2 linked regions of the Arabidopsis thaliana genome follow. The protein of the gene in region 1 binds, or shares a complex with, the protein of each later gene. Each region holds a gene or a part of one and is shown in the gene's direction. Other genes may lie near its edges. The genes, in order: AT3G52730 and AT5G13430.

Region 1 (4,149 bases):
CTTACGTTGAATTTAATATAATAAGATAACATACTTATAAATGTGGTTCTTGTTCCTCAATAATATAAGGCACTATTGTTACATTGTTGATAATATTCTAACTCATTTTACTCGTAACTTTATGAAACATTGCAAATTGAGTGTGTTTAGTTGCCTTTAGTTGTTCTGTTAGTGTAGAACGGATTTTGTGATTTTGTTTTTTAATACTTTTGATTCGATCCGTCCATATCATCTATACTCTACAACTATCAGAATATCTAATATTCCAGGGAAAAGATAGATATCTAGAAAAAGTTTTAAGGAAAATTTTTAAAAGTTTAGAAAGATATCAAAACTAAAATTAAAAAGAAAAAATTCGAATAGAAATTATAATCAGTACTAGAAATTTTATTGCATTTTTCAGATATAAGGAAAGTAAGATTTGAGTAATGTATATAAGTATAAATATACATATTTGTAGTTCATAAATCTGAAGGGAAGCGAATATCCTCATTCTCAAAGTTCAATATTTGCAATGTGTCCGCTCTAAATTTTAGAATATGGTTCGCTCTTTTGGATTCTTTTGTTAAAAACCTCAAGATTTTGAATCAGCAGTTTTTCTTTCTTCAGAATATCAAATTGTGAATGTGACATTTGCCCGTTTTCCTAATGCTCCTTTTGCATGTGCCCAAACATGCCCAATCATGTTCTTAGCTTCTTATAAGTCCAATTCAACATTTATCCCTTTTATTTGGCATCTCTCTCTGTGCCATGAGTTAGACATGTAACTATGTAACAACGCGATTAAAGAGATCAGAGCGGACTTATTGAAAAGAAATCTTGATTAGTTATTTACTTAGGAATCTAGAAACGACGACCTTGGTTAGTTATTACTTTCAGTTCACACACATATTTGAGTTCTTATGTGAAAAATTGCTTATGGGTACCAAAATACCTAAGTCAAAGTATTTTAAAATACTTGCTCGTGAAATATGATTTTAGATATGTAAATTACTCAAATACCCAAAAGATGTTTGCCCGTTAAAAAACCCCACTATACATAACATTGTTATTAATAATAGATGAATGTCCATTATAAAGTCCATCTTTTAGAAGTGTTTATACTCCAAATTTTACTTTGTCACCAAGTAAAACCCTTTCTTTGAACTCATATTTAAAAAACCCTTATTCATCAGAATAAAACATGAAATCTTCTATCTCTTTTCTCCTTTCTCTAGATTTAAAAGATTTTCCTAATACAATCAGAAAAAAAAAATCAAACTCAAAGCAAAGAGAAATCGAAAGCTATGAATTCATTTGACATTACCTCCATGAAAATCCCCCAAGAATGAGTACGTGAGTGTGGAAGATCCACAAATACTTTGGAATGATTTAAAGTAAAGGTATGATCATAGAAAACTGTGATATTACCTAAAGCTCGCTATGATTAGATTCATAAGAGATTACAAGACTTCAAGTCTATAACTGAATAGAGCTCATCACTTTCAAATTGGAATTATGTGGATCCATGATTTTCTAACTTATTTGCATATGATTTTCTCTCCACATAATTTCAATATGAAAATAATTTAAACAAGACTGAGTTATACTCGCTTACATACTTGAATTCTCATATGAATCCAATCATATATAACGAGCTTTAAACAAAATCACTGTTTTCTGATGATCATATCTTTCCTTCATATCAAACCAAAGAATTTGTAGATTTGTTAAAGAAAAATCATACCTTTAATTTTTCTTTGCTAGAATTTGATTTCCTTCTTTGTATCAAGAAAATCCTTTGAATATAGATAAAAGAGATTTGATGTCTTATTTCAATGAACAGGGATATATACTCATTCTCGAATAACATCTTATAATATTTCTTAGCAAAAAAAATAAAAAAATCTTATAATAGGAATATATACTTCTCCAAAATATACAAACATTCAAAAAAATATTCAAATACCCAATCAAAACTACTTATTCGAATAAATTATTTTGGGCCTGAATTTCTTTGGGGATTTGGGACAAACCAAAACTCAGATTGTTCTGCTAATGTTAGGGGTGTCAAAATGGGCTTAACATTTAGGGCCGTACTGGGTCCGTTAAAATAAATGGGCTACGAGGCCGAACTATTGAGGCCCAAATGGCCTTTCTAGATACGAACTAGTCAAAAGAGAATCATTTCTGATTAGTTGCGAAAAATCTCATCGTCTCTCTTCTTCGCTCTCGCCATTGTCGTAGATCGCTTTCTCTAACCCTAAAATACGTAGAGAGATCAGATACCTGAAAACAACCAATCAATCATGGAGTACGCTGCTCGGAGAAATCAGAAAGGCGCTTTCGAAGGCTTTTACAAACTTATCATGCGCCGTAATTCCGTCTACGTCACTTTCATCATCGCCGGCGCATTTTTCGGTGAACGGGTAAGAGATCAGAGCCTTTTTGGTTGTGTTATAGCTTATTAGGGTTCGTATTGTACCGGATCTGGTTTTTGTGTGTATGGTTTGATTGGAACGAAATTGGGGATTTTGGTGTTGTCAAATGATAATCTTAGTGAAGAAATTTCGTTGGAGAGGTTAATCAATCTACAATAGAGAGCTGGAGATTATAGTTTTTGTGAGAAGAATCTGGTGATAAGTTGTTTTTTTTGGGGTCTTATATGTGAAGAGGTTTACATGAACAGACAATGGAGTTTTCATGAAATGTTAAAATCTGTGGTTGCAGGCTGTGGATTACGGTGTTCATAAGCTCTGGGAACGCAACAATGTTGGGGTATGTTTATTTTCTTGTATTCTGAATCATGTTTTATGCAATCTGATGCCTAAATATGTTGACGATGAATGATTTTTTTGTTACTCTTTTGATTCGAAGTTCTGCATTTTGTTTCGGAAATGTTTAGTATTGGTGATGTTAATGTTTGTCTGTCATTTGAACTAGAGAGTCTAGATGGTAATAACTGTTTCTTCATTCTCTTTATTGCCCATCTTGAGATATGGAATGATCACATTTTTCTACACACACTTCTTTGGTTTCATGTCATCGTCGTAATCATCTTCTGTAATCTCTGCTTGTTGTTAGTGTTATTAGCTAATAGGTGAATGCTTTTCGAAAATCTATTGATGCCTGATTCACCTTTTCTAGCTTCTATTGGAATGTGTATAGTTCCCCCTCTACCTTCGACATCCTGATTTTTCTGCCTTGTGTGAGTATCTGTGAAAGTCTGAAAGAGAATGGTTATATTCGTATTCACAATGATTTTCTTGTCATGGCGCAGAAACGATATGAAGACATCTCTGTGTTGGGTCAAAGGCCAGTAGAGGAATGAGCTTTCTTCTTTTTGAATTCTCTTCAGACCAAAAGCAAGAATTGGAAATTTCCATGTTGTTTTGCATTCCAACGTCTCTCTTTCTTTGTTGAATAAATATAAAATCATTGGGATGATTCATATTTCACCTAAAGCTATCTGGTTCTGATTACTTGAATTTTTGCATTGTGGAATATGATAACATTATCATAAATCGTCATTTGGCATTACAAGTATTTGTCCCTTATTAAAAGCAAGTCCATTAAAACGCCCATTTGTGAATCGTCCTTTTCTTCACTTTTGGGTTCTTGAAGCGTCGCTTTAATATGCAGTGCCCATATTCTGAGGTCTAATTTCATCCATCTTCGAGAAATAGTAATCATGGAGATTTCCATTTGTTTGCCAAGGGTCAAATTTGGAAGGATTTTTCAATCAGTTTACTCAAATGTTGGATCCCAAAAAAGAAAGAAGATTAATGATTATACGAATTCTTTGAAGAATAACCAGAGAAGTCACTGTCGATAGAGCATCATCGTTCTTGAATTTACAGAATTAAGTGGGAATTAAACCGACAAAACCACATTGGTTCGATTTCGTGCACATAGCTGAAAGACTTCCACTAAGCTGTGGGGCAAAAGTTCAAGATTAGATTTTGACGATCTCTTTTATCATAAATCACATAACTTGCACCACTACTTTCGAAAGGCCATGCATGTAGAGACGATCAACATCGTGCAAACCAATCAATACATATCTTTCAAATGGAATTATCCATCCATAGATTCGCATAATGCATTTTGTTTGTTGCGACAAGAGATTTAGAAATCGTAGTAGGAAGCGCAAATGTGATGTTCGCGGAG
Region 2 (5,088 bases), on another chromosome or scaffold:
TTTGACATGTAGTTTATTCATTATTATGGAAATGGATGTTTTATCGTCTTTGGGCACATCATATAAGATACTTGCATCAGTAAACGAATCTGGAATTCCATATCTTTAACCAAAAGGGCTATGTTTGCAATCTTATCTTAGGAGTTTTCTTATGTTTTAAGCATTTATGATCATTGAAGTTCCTTCCTTGGATCTTGCGTTAGATAGATTAGTTTAGTTTTCACTGAATTTGATATCATGGTAGAAAATTGTTTGGATGACACCTTCTGTTATCTCTTGGAATCCGTTTTTATAATCTTATGTTATTCTATGCATTAATGTTAAATGTTTGCTAGTGTTATTCCTTTCTTCTGTGTTATCTCTTGAAAATATTTTTGCTTAATACTTGGTGTTGTTGAACACTTGACCAAGTATAAAGTTTGCCCTTGATGTGAAATATTAATGTTTCATGCTATTTTCAGGTTTTGCTTCTCAAGTCATTACTCAGGGAAATGAGATAGGTTTTGGTTCGGAAGTCCCAGCCACAGTCGAAGCTGTCAAAACACCTAACTCAAAGATTGTCTATGACGACCATAACCATGAGCGTTACCCACCTGGTGACCCTAGCAAGCGGGCATTCGCCTATTTTGTCTTGTCGGGTGGAAGGTTTGTTTATGCCTCTGTTCTCCGCCTGCTTGTTCTGAAGCTTATTGTGAGCATGTCTGCAAGTAAAGATGTCCTTGCCCTTGCATCCCTCGAGGTTGACCTAGGGAGCATAGAACCAGGAACTACCGTGACAGTCAAGTGGCGTGGAAAGCCCGTCTTCATCAGGCGAAGAACAGAAGATGACATCAAGCTGGCCAATAGTGTGGATGTTGGATCCCTGAGGGACCCACAAGAAGACTCGGTTAGAGTCAAGAATCCAGAATGGTTGATCGTGGTTGGAGTATGCACTCATTTGGGGTGCATCCCCTTGCCTAATGCTGGTGATTATGGTGGTTGGTTTTGTCCGTGTCACGGATCACATTACGATATATCTGGAAGAATTAGGAAAGGTCCTGCACCATACAACCTGGAAGTACCGACCTACAGCTTCTTGGAAGAGAATAAATTACTCATTGGTTAATGAATAAAGCACAACAGTCCGAGTGTCATGGTCTGGATGATCTTAAATCTGTTTTTGTTTTTATATTTTCCGGCATTTTAGCGTGCAAGTTCGCTTTCCTCACACTTTGGGCTCAGCAAAAATTGGCTTGTTTTGCTGAATAATACAAACTTGTCATTGTATGACTTAGTATCTGTCTCATCTGGTGAAAATACATTGTTCATACTTCATAGTCTCTGTTTATTATTTGAAAAGAGTTTTGAATAGTATCATCCCTATTTTTCTTATGTTTGTAATTTTGTAACATATCGTTTGTAAGAGAGTTTCCTTTCCTTAAAGTCTGTAGCCATTATCACAATTGAGACAAAAACTTGGTAAGGTTCAAGGTGTGTTATAAAACTTTCGTGTTCTTACTGGAGACGACATTTCGAAGACCTTCAATTCTCAACTAAGCCATAAACCTTCTCTTCCATAGTGAGAAATCCAATTGTGAACCTCGAGACTACTACTTTGATGAAAGATGTCATATTCTGGTTGTGGATCTTAGCCTAATTTTCTTGTTCAGATTGTTTTCATCGATGACTACTTCTTTGATGATGTCCTTCTAGCTCTTTCTTCTAGTATTGAAAAGTTCACACAGATGTAAAACAGTCTTTTTGTTGGAAATCTTGTTTAAACATTACAACAACAAAATATATCCTTTACCAAGTATAGACCCCCTATTATTATTATTAAAAATTACGATTTTTATACAAATAAAATAATTTATCTTACAAATACACACACACAAAAAAATTATATCGTAAAACCAAAAGATTTTATTAATTAAAATTAGAAAAAAAACCATGCCATCAAAATCCTGAAGTAAAAAAATATCAAGTAATACGCAAAAACCAAAAAAAACAAAACAAATTGACCTTTTCTCAAAGACAATTTTTAAGGGACTTACTAGTAAGTAGTCTCTTATGTTTTGTTTTGCATCGGCCGTCCCAAACCTGAGGATTTCTCTGTTCAGCTAGAGCGAAACCCTAGATTCACATTTGAGCTGAGAGATGCTGCGTGTAGCAGGGAGGAGGCTTTTCTCTGTCTCGCAGAGATCTTCGACTGCGACCTCCTTCGTCGTCTCCCGTGACCATACCCTTTCCGATGGTGGCGGCGACTCCTCTTCAGCTCCCAGATCCCTCCCCTCTGCAGATCTCTCATCTTACCACCGTAGCCTTATCAGAGGTTTGCCGATTTATAACCCTTTCCCTCTCTCTCTACATTGATTTTTCATTTTCGGTGGTTCTTTGCAGTTTTATTTGATTGATTGATTTTTGAAAAGGTCTTCTTTTTTTGGTTGTATGATTCACGGGAATGATTGAGATTTCTAGTATTGTATCTGCAATGATCCGTGGGAACAAACGTGTCATCTGATTTGAATTCCATGAGCTTGATGTACCATTTGGCTACATTCTTCTCCTTGCTGGATTTGTATTGCATTTGATGATTACTTCTTTCGTGTGGATTGTTCAGTTCTGAGATAATCCTTTGTTTTACTAGGAAAGTTTCCTCTTTTCGGTGCGTTAATCATAGTATGATTCACCACTGGCTTCTTGGTTTTTGAAATTTGATCTTGTGTATCAATCCTTTTGAGTTCTTCATTGTTAGGGACATGGATGTTTTAACTGTATACTATGTTTGTAGGATTTATAGCTGTTTAAAGGCATGCTGAGGAACTTGCATTCTGAAATTTATGTTTTCTTAACCAAAGAGCTTTGTTTGTTCTTAGCATTGGAAATTTTGTTGTGTTTTAAGCGTTTCTGTAATATACAGCATCTGATCAATATATTTTTTTCTCTTGGTTTATTACGTTGGTTTTAGTATTTAAGGTTTCACTGAATTTGTTATTATTGATTTGTTTGGATGAATTTGGTATACTTGGCTTCTCTGATTCATTCTTTCGTCCAGAAGGAAATGAACATTTGAGTTTATTGATGGATTATGGATTGACCTGTTTAGATGTAATTCTTTGGTTGATGACTAAAGCTCCTTGCTTGTAAATCATTGGAATGCGTTATCCATAGTGTGATTCACATTGGCTTCTAGATTCCAATTTTTTGTTCTTCTGTTTCCATGTTGATCATTGAATTTGTTCTCTTGTTTTTTTTATGGAGATTATCGTATTTAAGTTTCCACTCCCCGAGTTTGATACGATGGTTTGAATTGTTTGGATGGATCTCATACTTCATGGAATCCGTTTTATGTACTTTTGTTTTTCCTTAGAAGATTATACATCAATGGTCACATCTTGATTGTGGTAGTCCTGTGGCTTATTCTTATTCTTGTAGAACACTTGACCAAGTATAAAGTTTGCCTTTGATGTGAAATATTAATGTTTCATGCTATTTTCAGGCTTCTCTTCTCAAGTCCTTGCTCAAGGAAATGAGATAGGTTTTGGTTCAGAAGTCCCAGCCACAGTCGAAGCTGTCAAAACGCCTAACTCAAAGATTGTCTATGATGACCATAACCATGAGCGTTACCCACCTGGTGACCCTAGCAAGCGTGCATTCGCCTATTTTGTCTTGTCGGGTGGGAGGTTTGTTTATGCCTCTGTCCTCCGCCTGCTTGTTTTGAAGCTTATTGTGAGCATGTCTGCAAGTAAAGATGTCCTTGCCCTTGCATCCCTTGAGGTTGACCTAGGGAGCATAGAACCAGGAACTACCGTGACAGTCAAGTGGCGTGGAAAGCCCGTCTTCATCAGGCGAAGAACAGAAGATGACATCAAGCTGGCCAATAGTGTGGATGTTGGATCCCTGAGGGACCCACAAGAAGACTCGGTTAGGGTCAAGAATCCAGAATGGTTAGTGGTTGTTGGAGTGTGCACTCATTTGGGGTGCATCCCCTTGCCTAATGCTGGTGATTATGGTGGTTGGTTTTGTCCGTGTCACGGATCACATTACGATATATCTGGAAGAATTAGGAAAGGTCCTGCACCATACAACCTGGAAGTACCAACCTACAGCTTCCTGGAAGAGAATAAGTTACTCATCGGTTGATTAATAAAAGCACAACAGTCAAGAGTCTGGATCTGAATGATGATCTTCACTTGTTCTTTTTTTCTTTTAATTAATATTTTCCGGCATGTTAGAGCAAGATTGACTTGTTTTTGCTGAATAATACAAACTTGTGATTTTTGTTTGAAGTATACTCAATCTTCGTTTATCCATCGCTAGTAAAAGACGACTATGTTCATAGTCTGTGTTTATTATTTAACATGCCTATTTGTCCTATGTATGAGTGAGATTCCTTTCGTATCTCATAATTCTAAACATCGTCATTCCAATTAAAAAGTTGTATTTACATTTGAGTTTCGATAGTATCTCAACGTTCATAAAAGAAAAACTAAAGGTATGAGAAAAACCAACGTAGAAACAAACAACAAAAGGTAATATATCAGCTTTGATTGATAGTTTACAGGAAGATAACCGAATAAGTTCAAACTGTATTCGTAAGACATCCCGTGAATGAATATTCAATCATCCAAAAGTGGCATAGCTAGATTTTTTCTAGATTGGCTAAGAACACAAAAACATAATATTTTATTCTGTTTAATCTTTTTTAGTTAAGAAAAAATGTTTGACACACAAAAGCCAAAGTTTGATTTGGGTAAAAACCATTGTGGGAGATGAAAATGTTAAAATCTTGTTTGTTTTGGTCACCAACAACGGCCATGAACTATATGGGAAGTGACTTATCTCTTGTAAGTTGTTTTCCTTTTGGGATATGGGAAGTGACTTCTCCGACCCTTGCAAACTAACAACGGCCATTACACACTAATTACAAGCCAAAGGTCCTCACTAAGCAACCTCTCGTGTTTATCATAAGACACCGCTCTATCTCTTATTATTTTATTCATTGTTTTCTAATTTCAGACTGATTAATCATACATTAGAGAAAGTTTATTAAAACCATCTGATGTAAAAAATCACATTTATCTAAATTAAATAAATTTGTTATCTAGT

Evidence for each region.
Region 2: the proteins of AT3G52730 (region 1) and AT5G13430 are in contact, whole or in part, in a cryo-EM structure (PDB 8BEL), measured with the Arabidopsis thaliana proteins. Residues at the interface, in NP_190841.1 of Arabidopsis thaliana: Phe13, Glu14, Phe16, Tyr17, Met21, Tyr27, Phe30, Ile31, Gly34, Ala35, Glu39; in NP_568288.1 of Arabidopsis thaliana: Arg109 (codon at 3,628), Ala110 (codon at 3,631), Phe111 (codon at 3,634), Tyr113 (codon at 3,640), Phe114 (codon at 3,643), Leu116 (codon at 3,649), Ser117 (codon at 3,652), Arg120 (codon at 3,661), Phe121 (codon at 3,664), Ala124 (codon at 3,673), Ser125 (codon at 3,676), Arg128 (codon at 3,685).

The regions. Positions count from the first base shown.
Region 1 is NC_003074.8:19,542,307-19,546,455, reverse strand, and holds AT3G52730 (ubiquinol-cytochrome C reductase UQCRX/QCR9-like family protein), read left to right. Parts: upstream 1-2,145; 5' UTR 2,146-2,288; coding exon 2,289-2,408; intron 2,409-2,709; coding exon 2,710-2,829; 3' UTR 2,830-3,187; intron 3,188-3,259; coding exon of another isoform or gene 3,260-3,310; 3' UTR 3,311-3,637; downstream 3,638-4,149. Other genes in the region: AT3G52740 (uncharacterized protein), read left to right, coding at 1-10. UniProt on the Arabidopsis thaliana protein: Component of the ubiquinol-cytochrome c oxidoreductase, a multisubunit transmembrane complex that is part of the mitochondrial electron transport chain which drives oxidative phosphorylation.
Region 2 is NC_003076.8:4,304,448-4,309,535, reverse strand, and holds AT5G13430 (Ubiquinol-cytochrome C reductase iron-sulfur subunit), read left to right. Parts: upstream 1-1,965; 5' UTR 1,966-2,136; coding exon 2,137-2,311; intron 2,312-3,478; coding exon 3,479-4,122; 3' UTR 4,123-4,430; downstream 4,431-5,088. Other genes in the region: AT5G13440 (Ubiquinol-cytochrome C reductase iron-sulfur subunit), read left to right, coding at 462-1,105. UniProt on the Arabidopsis thaliana protein: Component of the ubiquinol-cytochrome c oxidoreductase, a multisubunit transmembrane complex that is part of the mitochondrial electron transport chain which drives oxidative phosphorylation.